3 linked regions of the Arabidopsis thaliana genome follow. The protein of the gene in region 1 interacts with the protein of each later gene in a pairwise test. Each region holds a gene or a part of one and is shown in the gene's direction. Other genes may lie near its edges.

Region 1 (4,357 bases):
TCGTTTTGTTTAGGGTTATATTACTATCTATACTCAGATGATCGGAAAATTAATAAACTATGCATGATAAAAAATGGGGTTGCGGGTATGATATTTATGGGGTTGTGGGTATTATAAACATAACGATATAATATCTATTTGTGTTTCGACACGAATCAAAGATAGTGGGACGCTTAAGTAACATTAATATCACGATAATCTCTTATCTGCTAACACGAGCCTTTTTATTCGAAGCCTTTTAAAATAAGTCTCAAACAATTGTGTACGAGGATAATTTGATAACAGGATAATTTCATATCGATTCCACACGTTGTCGCTTTGGGTTTTGAACAAGAATCAAAACTTATATTGCTATTTAATAATATTAGTATCGCGATAATCTCGTATCTGCTAACGCAAAACTAATAACACTCTCTGATTACTAACCGTGTACGGCTAACATGATAAGTTTGTATCTGATAAACACGATAACGTTTAGTTAGTTTTTTTTTAAAAACCCATAAGCAAAAGCCTACAAGTGGAAATGGTAACGAAGTTAGTCGTTAAAACTACTAGCAGATAATTAAAATAATAACGAGACGATGTCAATTTGTGTTTTGACACGAATCAAAGCTAGTGAGACGCTTCGGTAACATTAAAACATACACTCTTATCCGCTAACGCGAGCCTCTTGTTTGTAGCCTTTTAAATTAAGTCTCAACGAGCTTAGCTGGTGACAATGTTAGTCGATATACCTTCTAGCAAATAAGCAAAACAATAATGAGAGTTTCGCAGGTTGTATTCTGATGTTTTGCAAAAATAATCAAAACTATTTACATTTTCTGATAATCAACGGTATCACGATAATCTTATAACCAATAACAAAATAATTTCGTGGCTGCTAATCACGATATCATTTTAGTTAATTTATTAAAAAAATCCCATAAACAAAGGCCGAGAGGTTGAAATGGTAACAATGTTGGGCGATAACACATTCTGATAACATTAGTATCACGCTAATCCCTTATCTTCTGATAAACATTAATCCTCTCGCCGCGAAGTTCTTTGCCAAAAGCAATCAGACGGGGAGGGAGAAGAATCGGCAGCATCGTTCCTAGAAAAAAAAACATAAATCCTTGTAAAACAACTCAAGATAGGAAGTCAAAATCAAAATAAAAAGGAAACATCTATATCGATTACTAGCAAAAGACGCGAGGAACAAAGCACAAATCTGATAGATGAACTTCTGTTCGAAAAACAGAACGAAATAAAACAAGAATTTGGAGGAATCATTTCTTTTTTTCTTACGCCTCAAAACGACAGTCTCTTATCTTCATACAAAACTGGAAAGAGACGAGTAACTACGTAAGAAAAAAAAACCATTAATAAAATAACACAACTTCCCAAATATATCTACATAAAATCTTCTTCTACACTACTGCAATAATATCCCTCTACAAGCTACAACTTACGCAATCGATAATATAGGGGTACATGTGTAAAATTTTTGTTAACAGTGTTGGGCAAACAGTGCAAAATGAAGAGAGTGAATTAACAAGTTTTCGAAGCATATCAAGTGATATTTTTGTTTATATGAGTTTTGAGGACTGACTTCGTCTAAGGTTTGTTCGTGGCAATAAAAATAAAGGTTCGAGTTTTTTGGGAGCTGAGACAATCACGCAGATGTCTGAGCTTCACAGATTATTCTCAGACAATGTTTATTCTTCAAACGACTACTGATATCGTTTGTGCTTTCTTTGTAGTATTTTTTGTTGTAATCATAGGTTTTTTAGTTTTAGTTATAGATTTTAGTTTTCTGTTTTTCTTTTCTAAAATGATATATAAATTATAAATACTTTTTTTGTTATCAGATATTGTTTAAGACTCGACCCAAAATTATAAATACATTGATGAAAAAAAATAGTATATAGCTGATGTAATCCACGCGCTTGCTGATTAGTCGTGCTCATGTAATTAAACAAATATCGCAAATGTTAAACTATTATACACATATAAATTTCTGTATATACAAAACAAACGAAGAAGACGAATCTCTCAGTTTCGTCGTTCGTTTCGAAGTTGTGCGTTGGTGAAATTTGAAATCTGAATACACTCATTGCAAACCTTAGAAGAAGAAGAAGAAGAAGAAGAAGAAGCTTCCATAGATTCCGTTGGGCTTTTACTGTGTTTGATTGATCGGATCGATTGCGATTACGGAGAAGATATGGCTCAGGCTGTAGAAGAATGGTATAAACAGATGCCGATTATCACTCGCTCTTATCTCACGGCGGCTGTTATCACCACCGTCGGATGTTCCCTCGATGTACGTGCTTGCTTGCTTATTCGCGAATCTTTTTTGGGGTTCTCTGAAATTCTCTAAATTAGGGTTTCATATTCTGATTGTTTTTGTTTTGCAGATCATATCTCCATATAACCTTTATTTGAATCCGACACTTGTGGTGAAGCAATACCAATATTGGCGTCTCGTTACTAATTTCTTGTATTTCCGGAAGATGGGTAATTTTCCCTTAACACTACTCTATGAAACTGGATACAACATTTGTGTGCTTATTACTTTCATATGAAGCTCTTGTCTTTGTCACATTATTAGCTCTAGGCTGCTACTTGTTAATAGCGTTGTGACTGATTGATTGCTTATAAACAAATATGTGTTTGGGGTTGTTGTAGATTTGGACTTCATGTTCCATATGTTCTTTCTCGCACGATACTGCAAACTCCTTGAAGAAAACTCATTCAGGGGAAAGACTGCTGATTTCCTATACATGCTCCTATTTGGAGCATCTGTTTTAACCGGTATTGTACTTATCGGTGGAATGATACCATACTTGTCAGCATCATTTGCTAAAATCATCTTCCTCAGCAACTCATTAACTTTCATGATGGTTGGTAACTTCTGTTTCCCACAAATCTAAGTCGCCTCTAAATATCAGCTTATAGTCTCTTGTGTTCCACAGGTCTATGTATGGAGCAAACAAAATCCTTATATTCACATGAGTTTCCTTGGTCTGTTCACCTTCACAGCAGCTTACCTACCATGGGTGAGTTTAACTCTCTCGTTTCCCTAAACTTCCACCGGAATGAATAAATAACATCTTCTGCAAATTCTGGCTTTTGCAGGTGCTTCTTGGCTTCTCTATCCTTGTTGGTGCCAGTGCTTGGGTGGATCTTTTGGTATATACTCAGATTATCCCAAAAAATTTCTTCTCCAGTCTCTTTTGATCTTTTGTCACCCAAGTTAACTTCAGTCTGATCAAAACATTTCAGGGTATGATAGCAGGTCACGCTTACTACTTTCTGGCTGAGGTTTATCCGCGAATGACTAATCGTCGTCCATTAAAGACTCCATCATTCCTCAAAGCGTTATTTGCAGATGAACCAGTTGTGGTTGCACGGCCAGAAGATGTGAGGTTTGCTGCTGCGCCTTTCGATGAAATCCACCAAGACTGATTCTGTCATCTTACATTTCCCAAACCTAAACACCCGAATCAGTAGTTTGGCTTGTGGATCAGATATAAATGGTGCAAAGGCAGATGATACACAAAAGTCTATTTTGACTCTGACACGTAGTTGCGACCCACACACCCTAGTTTCTAGTAGTTGGGTGTGTTTTGGTTCCTTCTCTTTCCTCCCATCTCTTCATCTTTTTGTGTATACAAACATCGTTTGCTTTTAGTGGTTATTGATATGAACACACTCAATTTGTACACAACCTCTACTAGTGTCGCAATGTTTTAGCGAGGGAACATGTTTTGAATTCACTGCCCGACTCAGATATCAGAAGAAATGTACTTTTGTTCAGATATCAGAACAAATGTTTCATTGCTTTTAGTACATTTTTTTTCCTTTTCTATTTCAGTTAGCAGTAGAAAACAGTGAGAGCTGCGTATTCCGGAAAACAACAAGACATGTTCAAGCTTCTTTAATTAAGCATGTGCCTCGTGTGTGAAGTTTATAAATGTTGGAAACTAGAAACTATGATCTCTTAATCATAGATATAGGTCTCTTCTTCCAGTATTGTACACCATAAGCTGCAGTTGAAGCCATAGTCGTCGAAGCAACTAACCAGCTGGATACAAAACAACATGAGACCAATAACAAGATTTCAGAGAACACACTTCATATGTTTATAACTTTAAGGGTAGTGATTAGTCCAGCTGTGTGGTAATTCGAAAAAGACCTATTACCTTAGATAAGTGATCCATGTCTGGGTGTCTGGATTCCCAAACTCTGGTTGAAGTATTGCACCAGCGACTAGAGTCAACTGGAAAACTGTATTCACCTGTCGATAGACATGTTCCATTAACAAATCAGTTACACATACCAAAGATGCCAAGATGAGAACAAGCTGTATCACCTA
Region 2 (2,828 bases), on another chromosome or scaffold:
AAACTTTAGATCGGATTGTTTTCTTGGTGAAGGAGGTTTCGGAAAAGTTTTCAAGGGAACTATAGAGAAATTGGATCAGGTACTTGTGACAAAGAAAAATCCTATCTGTTTTTATCAATTGGCTGTGAGATTTGTCATAGTTTTGAACGGTTGGTGAAACTTGGTTCTGCTGCTAGGTTGTTGCAATCAAGCAACTTGATCGTAATGGGGTTCAAGGAATCAGGGAATTTGTGGTTGAGGTATTGACTCTAAGTCTTGCTGACCATCCGAATCTTGTGAAGCTTATTGGGTTTTGTGCTGAGGGTGATCAGAGACTACTGGTGTACGAGTATATGCCGCAAGGATCCCTTGAAGATCATCTACATGGTATGTTGTAAGATCAAATTCCTATCCTTTGCCTCTGTATTGTTTGTCTCGCAGCTACCCCCTTTTCTCATCTAACTTTTACATTGTTGTTTTGACTGTTTCAAGTTCTCCCTTCTGGTAAAAAGCCTCTTGACTGGAACACCCGGATGAAAATAGCAGCTGGTGCAGCAAGAGGTTTAGAGTATCTGCATGACAGAATGACGCCCCCTGTGATTTACCGAGATCTTAAATGTTCGAATATTTTGCTTGGTGAAGACTATCAACCGAAACTATCTGACTTTGGGTTGGCTAAAGTAGGACCAAGCGGGGATAAAACCCATGTCTCGACAAGGGTTATGGGAACGTACGGATACTGTGCTCCTGACTACGCTATGACGGGTCAGCTCACATTTAAATCCGATATATACAGTTTTGGAGTAGTCCTTCTCGAGCTTATCACCGGAAGGAAAGCGATTGACAATACAAAAACGCGTAAAGATCAGAATTTGGTTGGATGGGTATGTTTTGTCTCTTGGCTGTGACTCATAATAATCTTTACTGAAACAAGACTCATATTTTCACGGTGCTTTTTAACAGGCACGACCATTGTTCAAAGACAGGAGGAACTTCCCAAAAATGGTTGATCCATTGCTTCAGGGACAATACCCAGTTAGAGGACTGTACCAAGCACTAGCAATATCAGCAATGTGCGTTCAAGAGCAGCCTACCATGAGACCAGTGGTATCTGATGTAGTATTGGCTCTCAACTTCTTAGCCTCTTCTAAATATGATCCGAATAGCCCTAGCAGCAGCAGCGGGAAGAACCCTTCTTTTCACAGAGACAGAGATGATGAAGAGAAAAGACCACACCTCGTCAAGGAAACTGAATGTGAAGGGTCCTCATAGGATATCCAATAAGAGAGTGGTAAAAAATCAAATCTAATTTTGGCTTCACCAAGAAATTGGGGAAAAATATAAAACCAACTCAGGTACATTTTTAACATCTATTGTGGATGTAAATCTTGACTCGGCTTCTTTGTATGTAGAATGTTTCTGTTCTGTAGAAAAGGAAAAAAAAAAAAAACCATTTTGTTTTGGGACATATATACATATATTGAACAAAAACAAATATCGTTGGTCATATATATATTTTCCCGATCAAAAAGTCTGGTAAATTAGGATTAAGTAATGTCTAAAAATTCATAATGATGAATGGCAAAAGTCGTAAATATGTAATAGAAATAGGACTATGATCACGTGATGCAACTTATCCCGCGTGAACCCGTTAAGATTTTTGCCGTTAAATAACCAAAACCTAATCCAAGAAGGCTTCACAAATCTCTTCTCTCTTATCTCTCTCTACTGGTTTTGTGATTCTTGGAAGAGAAGCTACAAGATAAGACAACAATGGCGGAAAGATCATTCTCTCAGCTCCCGATCTCTTCTTCTCACATTGGCAGAAGGACAGGAAACACCCGGAGAGGGATATTTCCGGTATCGGAGTATTGGATCCATGCAATTCCGGTGATCGTTTTTCTCTGTTTCTTCACCCTCTGGATTTTCTCCCACTCAGGTTCCTTATTTCTCCGATTCTTTAATCTAAGAAAAGATTTTCCCGAGAAAATGAGTCTTTCTGATTTTGGTTTTGGTTACAGTGAGCGTCATGAACGATGGAGAGATAATGTCGATACATCGTCTTGAGAAATCCATGGCCGTGAGAAACGAGTCTCATGTCAGTTTAGCGATTCTTGCTTCCTCTGCTGTTTCACCAGCCTCCTCAGCTCTCGTCGCCGTCGTCTCTACCAATCAGAATCTCACAACTTTTCACAACGCAACTCAATCGCAGCAAAATGCAACCCAGTCGGTGAACAAAGCAAAACAGCCACACGCAGTCTAATCTCTGAACGGAGAAAAGTTTCTTTCAGTTTCTTACTGATTTCTTTCATGAACAGATAACTTTCAGGGATTGAATTTTTCTTTTCTTTGTATTTGCTTCAGTTGAAACAATAGTTTTTGATTTAGGATTGAGAATTGTTTGTGAACGACGATACACAGAATGTTTTCAACAAATTGCATAGTCATTTGAAGAAATCTTTAGTGAGTATATATCTGAATCTTGTTAATGCTGCTGAGGATGTTCAAGCTCACTGATCTCTCCATCTGCGCAATTTCCGACCCAAATATACATCGTTTGGTTTCTCCTACTCGGCAATACTCTGCAACAATCCCTCCTCGGTGACTGCACCAAACACACAATTTTAACATCATGTTATTTCAACACCGGTTTATTATATGATCTCAGCCGGTTATCTCTGTCAATTCACTAGCCAAAACCAAACCGGTATGACTATATTTGATGCAAGTTGTTAATAATGAAGCAAAGAGAAGATGTGGACCAACCTTGTGCCATCGGAGGGGATCAGGTCGCTTGAGAACGACGACTGAATCGATCTTTCCAGGCGAATCGAGCCTCCATCGGCACC
Region 3 (5,662 bases), on another chromosome or scaffold:
CGACGTCATTTTTGAGTAATGTGTTGGATGCCACTTTGTTTCTTCTTGGTCCAAAAGTTTGTAAACAATCTCAACAATCTGTATCGGTGTTTTAGAGAAGTACAAACTTACATGTCAAAAGGAATCTAGTGCTCACAGCTGTGATTACTTCTTTCATTGTTGCTGTTTTGCAGTGAGGAGTAATCACTGGATATCGAGATAGGCAGCTAAATAGTCAGGATATTGTGAGGTTTCCTGCAGAACAACTTTCAATTTTTTACGGATCTGAGGATGCATTTTTGAAGCATATAGAACCGAGAACATAGATAAAGAGGTTGATCATTTTATATTTAAGGTTTTAAGCACCACTGAGAACAACATGCTATGGCTGAGGATAAGTCTGCTGAAGTCAAATAAAAGAAACCACAAAGCAGAGAAAAGAAGAAGAACTCAAAAGATTAAAGAGGTTGAGAATAGTTTTGGAAAGTTAGACTACTCGAGCTAGGAGGCGTTTTAAATTTTCATCCTATCTTGATCGATCAATAAGATTAAAAGATGAGTTCATATATTTCAAGTAGATTACAGCATTAAAAGCACACATGTCTAGGTACCTATTCTACAAAAAAAACGAAAGTAGAGGATCTAAATAAGGACAAAAAAAGAACTGGAATTTTAAGGTTTTCTTGATGTTGTGATCTGCTGTTGTTTCCTACTTGCTTTAACATCTACCGGTGGATTACACCTGATACAAAAAGAAACACTTTTTGATGTCAATTACACCTAAAACTCATCTTTGGGGATACATAAAAAAAAAGAAAAACTAGATTGTGTCTCGTATCTTCTTTACTTGTTCTGTATAGGGTTTGAGCCACTCCTTGGGATTCTTCTGAAGCTATCATTTTCTCCCTTAAGTGGCTCTTTCTTCATCTCCTTGCTTACAGGCAAATCTCTCACAGCTTGACTCGAATGTGTCATCGTTAACAGAGAACGTCCTTCTACACTATACTTGCTGCTAAAGAAAGCTACAAGTAACAGAACCAGAGCCACTGAACAGCATCTCTTCATTCTGAGTTCTCTTCTTGAAATTTCCTTTAGGACTCTTGAAACCTCTTGACTTTTTCTTGTTCTGTTTTTCTGTGAACTGAGAAAATCTTGGATGGAGATGTGTGTTAGAGAAAAGAGAGACGAGAGACTTCTAAAGCTTGTTGGTTTTATAGAATAAGATTTATGTGTGTTTGAACACATAGTTATTGGGATCTGATCACGTGATCTTACTTTGACTAATGCTATTTAATCAGATGGTGAGATACTTATCTTATTCTTAATCATTTACTTACGATGATGATGATATTCCTCAAGCATCTACATTGAAACAATGATACAATATCATATGTAGAGACAAAGATCCACATATTCACATTACCTAACTCATGTAACTGCTTTGAAACTAAGAGATGGTGGTCATGTGATTAGAGCACGTGATTTCTGCCTACTGTTATCGGGGAACTCAAAAGAGGCTGAAACTTAACTTTATTGAAATTATTTTTTAAGCATAACTTTGGAATTTGGAGGTATTAGTGTAAGTCCAATTTCAGAAAAGAAAAAATTGCAGGTAACAGCTGTTTTGTCTCACTACTAATCACTAGTTTTTTTTCTTCTTCTGCAGCTATTTTTTTTATATTTCATGAAGAGAAGGAAAAATTGATTCCAAGAACCGGCACAGATTCTTTGATGAGTGGTGGAGAATAAAGAAATAGGGAAAAGTGCATTACGCAAAATAATTATTAAATCATTGATCCTCTAATAACGAACCGGAATGGATTATACAATACCGGTCTAACTTGTGTTGAATTTTGTTCGGTTTAGATAAACCAAGCGCGAGTTAGGCTAATTCTTTCTCTCTCTACCCGCGGAGAAGGAGAAAGTGAGATTAACGAGAAACCCCAAGAGAGAAAATCTTCATCGACAAAATTCGATTCAGGTGATCAATTTCTTTCATATTTTCGCAATTATTTCTTGGATCTGATGTTATCTACTTTGGAATTTCTTCGCTGCATTATCTTTTGATTTGTTGTTCTTGTTCCTTTGCGTTTCTGGGTAAGAGCGAAGCTTGAAATTGCAATTGGAATCTCTAACAAGTTTAAGACTTTGCTTTGATACGGTTTATGTGGAAGTATCTGTGATTTTCTTATATATTTATGGAAGATATTGCAGCTGATTCGAGTTTGGTTTGCCTATCATTGTTGCAATTTTCTCGGTTCAATCAAAGGATTTTCTAGGTTGATATATAATTCCAGGGATTTCCAGATAATTTCCTTTAATTTGGTTGGAATTCGATTGAATTTTCGTTGCTTTCAATTGGTTTGCAGTGATTTGGGTGAAAAGATTTTTCCAAGCTCATGGAAATTGGGGATTTTTATTCAAAGGGTGTTTCTGGTGATCATAGAGTTGTTTGACTCAAGTTTCATTTGATCTTGTGTGTATTTGGTTGGTTTTTCTTTTCAATCAGGTCATGAAAGTATTGCATAATAGCTAGAAGTATTGTTATCTCTGTATATGTGTTGTGAGATAGTACAATTGGTAAAGTTTCCATATCAATGGCACGAAAATCAACTGCAATTTACTCGTTTCGATATATGTTTTTATGTAGTTCATATATGTAATTCAGACATAAGGGTTTTATGTAGTCCATCTCATCAGTAGGTGGACTTTCACTCATATTTGTATTTCGTTTTGTTGATAATGTTAAATGGGTGTAACAGCTGCTGCAGCTATTCACTTCGTCCATAGCACGTAGATGGCAGAAAAGGCCTGTATAAAACGTCTTCAAAAGGAATATAGAGCACTTTGCAAGGTACACTCTCTTTACTTGTTTTTCTACCTCTCTCGAGCTGGAACCAGGATTCCATATTTTTATTGCTCAACCAGTTTTCTCTGTACTTTCAAATGATGCTGTATCTATATGTGAATGTTTTCTTGGTTTTGGTTTAGAGTAAGTTTCATATTTTCTTTTGTTTCTTTGGGGGTTATTTAATATGTTCTGTTTTTGGCCTTTAGGAACCAGTCTCCCATGTTGTTGCTCGTCCTTCCCCAAATGACATTCTCGAGTGGCGTAAGCCTTCCCTATCTTTTTTTCTTAATCTTTATTCCTGCTGGCTTCCTGTAATCCTGTTGCAAGCGTTTCTATAAAGATGTTATGATAAGTATATATGATGGACATATTTGCTACACTTGTGAGTATACGTTAAACTAAGAAAAAATGGGATACTACGATCTAAGTAGACAGAAGAGGTCTCACATTACTTTGATGGAATAGTGAAGACTTATTTATCAAAGGTTTATATGTACTTACAATGCATAGATTTGATAGTTTTCTTCTCAATTGTGAAAGGCTGTCAGTGTTACTGTTAGCCTGATAGCGGTTAGGGAGTTTCAGTCTTTCTATTATTACTGCATTTAGTATGTTAAAAAGGGTAGCTTGATCTCTTACTAAAATAGAGTTAAACTATTGGATTAATCTTACAGATTATGTGCTGGAAGGCAGTGAGGGAACACCTTTTGCAGGTGAAAATCTTCTTTTGAAAGTTTCTTGTTAGTGTTGTCTTACGCAGTATCTTATTTTTGATACTAAAATTCTCTTTACCAGGTGGATTTTACTATGGAAAGATCAAGTTTCCTCCCGAGTATCCTTACAAGCCACCAGGGATTACGTATGTTCCAATGGTTCCTCCAAATTCAGTCTCAACATTACTCTTACCTCATTTTTTGTCCAGTTTTTTAATGAACCAAATCTTTTTCTGTTTGCCTCAGAATGACTACACCAAATGGTCGATTCATGACACAGAAGAAAATTTGTTTATCTATGAGTGATTGTAAGGACAATCTGCACTTTCTGTTCATTATTTCGTATCAATTAACTTGTCTAATATCGAAATAAGTTGACATGGCATTTACAGTTCATCCAGAAAGCTGGAATCCGATGTGGTCTGTATCAAGGTATAGATTCTTTCTTTACTTTTGGAAGATGACAATCGATATACCCGTTGATAACCAACTTTTTTTCATGAATGCAGCATACTTACAGGACTTCTCTCATTTATGGTAAGCTCACTGTAGGTTCTACATATTTATGGACATCTTGTTTGAAAATTCTCATATTCTTATATTGTAATGGTTTATTAGCTTAGATATGAATATTCAAAAAGGAAGTCTATTTTTTCTTTTCTGTTCTCAAGCTTTCTCTAAACGTTTTCCTTGCGGCGCAGATGGATACCAGTCCGACAACTGGAAGTGTTAACACTACTGTAATTGAGAAACAACGGTTGGCTAAGTCATCTCTCGCTTTCAATTGTAAAACGTAAGATTTTCCCATCATCAAAAAATTTCAAATTCTGGATTCATATAGAAGCTAAGTTTAGTTATCTGTGGTTAGGATAGTCATAAAAGCTGGTTAGATAACGAATATAGGAATGAATGCAGTCCTGAGATTACATGTTTTCGGTATTTCACCTGAATCCAATGTTCTTACTTGTGACAGCCCAGCATTTCGAAAGCTATTTCCAGAGTATGTAGAGAAGTACAACCAGCAGCAACTAGCTGAGCAAGCTACCACACAACTGACAACACCAGAGTCTCCTCAAAAGAGCGATACCAAAGTCGAGTCAGAGAAAACCATCGATCCAACAAAGGGAGATTCAGAAGGTGGCTTGAAGGAGAGGAAAAAGAACAATAAACAGGGATTGCCAGCGTGGATAATACTGTTGCTAGTGTCGGTTTTCGGTGTGGTAATGGCGTTGCCTCTGCTTCAACTGTGATTTCTATGCAACAAACCTCGACCTGGTTTTCGTATAATCTCTCCTTGTGTCTCTCTCTCTTCAGCATCAAGAGTAGTCTCCTTTTGTCTAGTGCTCTTCGTCTGAATTTACTCATTTAGCACCTCATGGTTTGTGCTTGTAAAAGCAGATAACATAAGTTTGGTTTCACAATTACATACATATTGTAGCTTCGTTGGAACTACTTTGTATAGTATATATGAATTGAGGATAATGGTTTGGATTTGAAAAATAGAACCGTATGGTTTTCAAATTGTACTTCTCCTAGAGCTCACAGGTTAATTTGTCAATTTATGTAAATACTCTGGTGTAGTAACTTGATGAAAACAGAAGTGACAGAGAGAATACACAGACAATAGTGAATAGAATTGTTAGGTATATTGGGCCAATTAAGCAATTGTCCCTTTAGGCCCATTGGTAAGAAAAGGAAAAAACCATACTTAATGATAAATTAAAACCGGTATGGCTGTACCGGTTCAATCTGTCTTCAACCACCGACGTTGACTTGTTACCAATCTTCTTCTTCTGCTCGAGTCCAGTCCAGTGAAAGTGATTATGTTTATGGTTAATAATGTTAACTCTATAATTTAGTGGGAAAAATGTTATTTAATACCTCAACTTACAAAAAATGGTCAAATTAACCGTGAACTCGTGAAATGGCCGTTTTAACTTTCAACAAAAAGTTGACTTCTGTTTTAACATTCAAGTTTGCGTTGACTCGGCCTAATTAACCACCGTTAAAATTCCTTCTAACAGCGTAATTGACAGACGTTACAGAACATCCGTTAAGGTGATACGACGACGTTTTGTGCTATCAACAGACTTCAAAGTCGACGAAACCTCTGAAAAAT

The links. The genes of interacting proteins can lie anywhere in the genome.
Region 2: the proteins of DER2.2 (region 1) and AT1G07860 interact in a protein complementation assay, tested with the Arabidopsis thaliana proteins (one large-scale study listed by BioGRID).
Region 3: the proteins of DER2.2 (region 1) and UBC34 interact in a protein complementation assay, tested with the Arabidopsis thaliana proteins (one large-scale study listed by BioGRID).

Annotation. Positions count from the first base shown.
Region 1 is NC_003075.7:2,457,932-2,462,288, forward strand, and holds DER2.2 (DERLIN-2.2), read left to right. Parts: upstream 1-1,921; 5' UTR 1,922-2,203; coding exon 2,204-2,302; intron 2,303-2,396; coding exon 2,397-2,496; exon of another isoform or gene 2,497-2,667; coding exon 2,668-2,882; intron 2,883-2,954; coding exon 2,955-3,038; intron 3,039-3,117; coding exon 3,118-3,171; intron 3,172-3,264; coding exon 3,265-3,447; 3' UTR 3,448-3,808; downstream 3,809-4,357. Other genes in the region: CLS (cardiolipin synthase), read right to left, coding at 3,973-4,066, 4,185-4,279. UniProt on the Arabidopsis thaliana protein: May be involved in the degradation process of specific misfolded endoplasmic reticulum (ER) luminal proteins.
Region 2 is NC_003070.9:2,428,356-2,431,183, reverse strand, and holds AT1G07860 (Serine/Threonine-kinase RLCKVII protein), read left to right. Parts: upstream 1-1,752; coding exon 1,753-1,918; intron 1,919-1,958; exon of another isoform or gene 1,959-2,000; coding exon 2,001-2,242; 3' UTR 2,243-2,273; downstream 2,274-2,828. Other genes in the region: AT1G07870 (Protein kinase superfamily protein), read left to right, coding at 1-79, 177-366, 472-863, 943-1,241, 1,806-1,918, 2,001-2,242; AT1G07850 (transferring glycosyl group transferase (DUF604)), read right to left, coding at 2,465-2,584, 2,746-2,828.
Region 3 is NC_003070.9:5,916,277-5,921,938, reverse strand, and holds UBC34 (ubiquitin-conjugating enzyme 34), read left to right. Parts: upstream 1-1,596; 5' UTR 1,597-1,960; intron 1,961-1,962; exon of another isoform or gene 1,963-2,741; 5' UTR 2,742-2,776; coding exon 2,777-2,833; intron 2,834-3,036; coding exon 3,037-3,091; intron 3,092-3,504; coding exon 3,505-3,543; intron 3,544-3,625; coding exon 3,626-3,689; intron 3,690-3,789; coding exon 3,790-3,851; intron 3,852-3,917; coding exon 3,918-3,975; intron 3,976-4,052; coding exon 4,053-4,080; intron 4,081-4,244; coding exon 4,245-4,336; intron 4,337-4,516; coding exon 4,517-4,793; 3' UTR 4,794-5,107; downstream 5,108-5,662. Other genes in the region: AT1G17285 (uncharacterized protein), read right to left, coding at 652-721, 827-1,224. UniProt on the Arabidopsis thaliana protein: Accepts the ubiquitin from the E1 complex and catalyzes its covalent attachment to other proteins.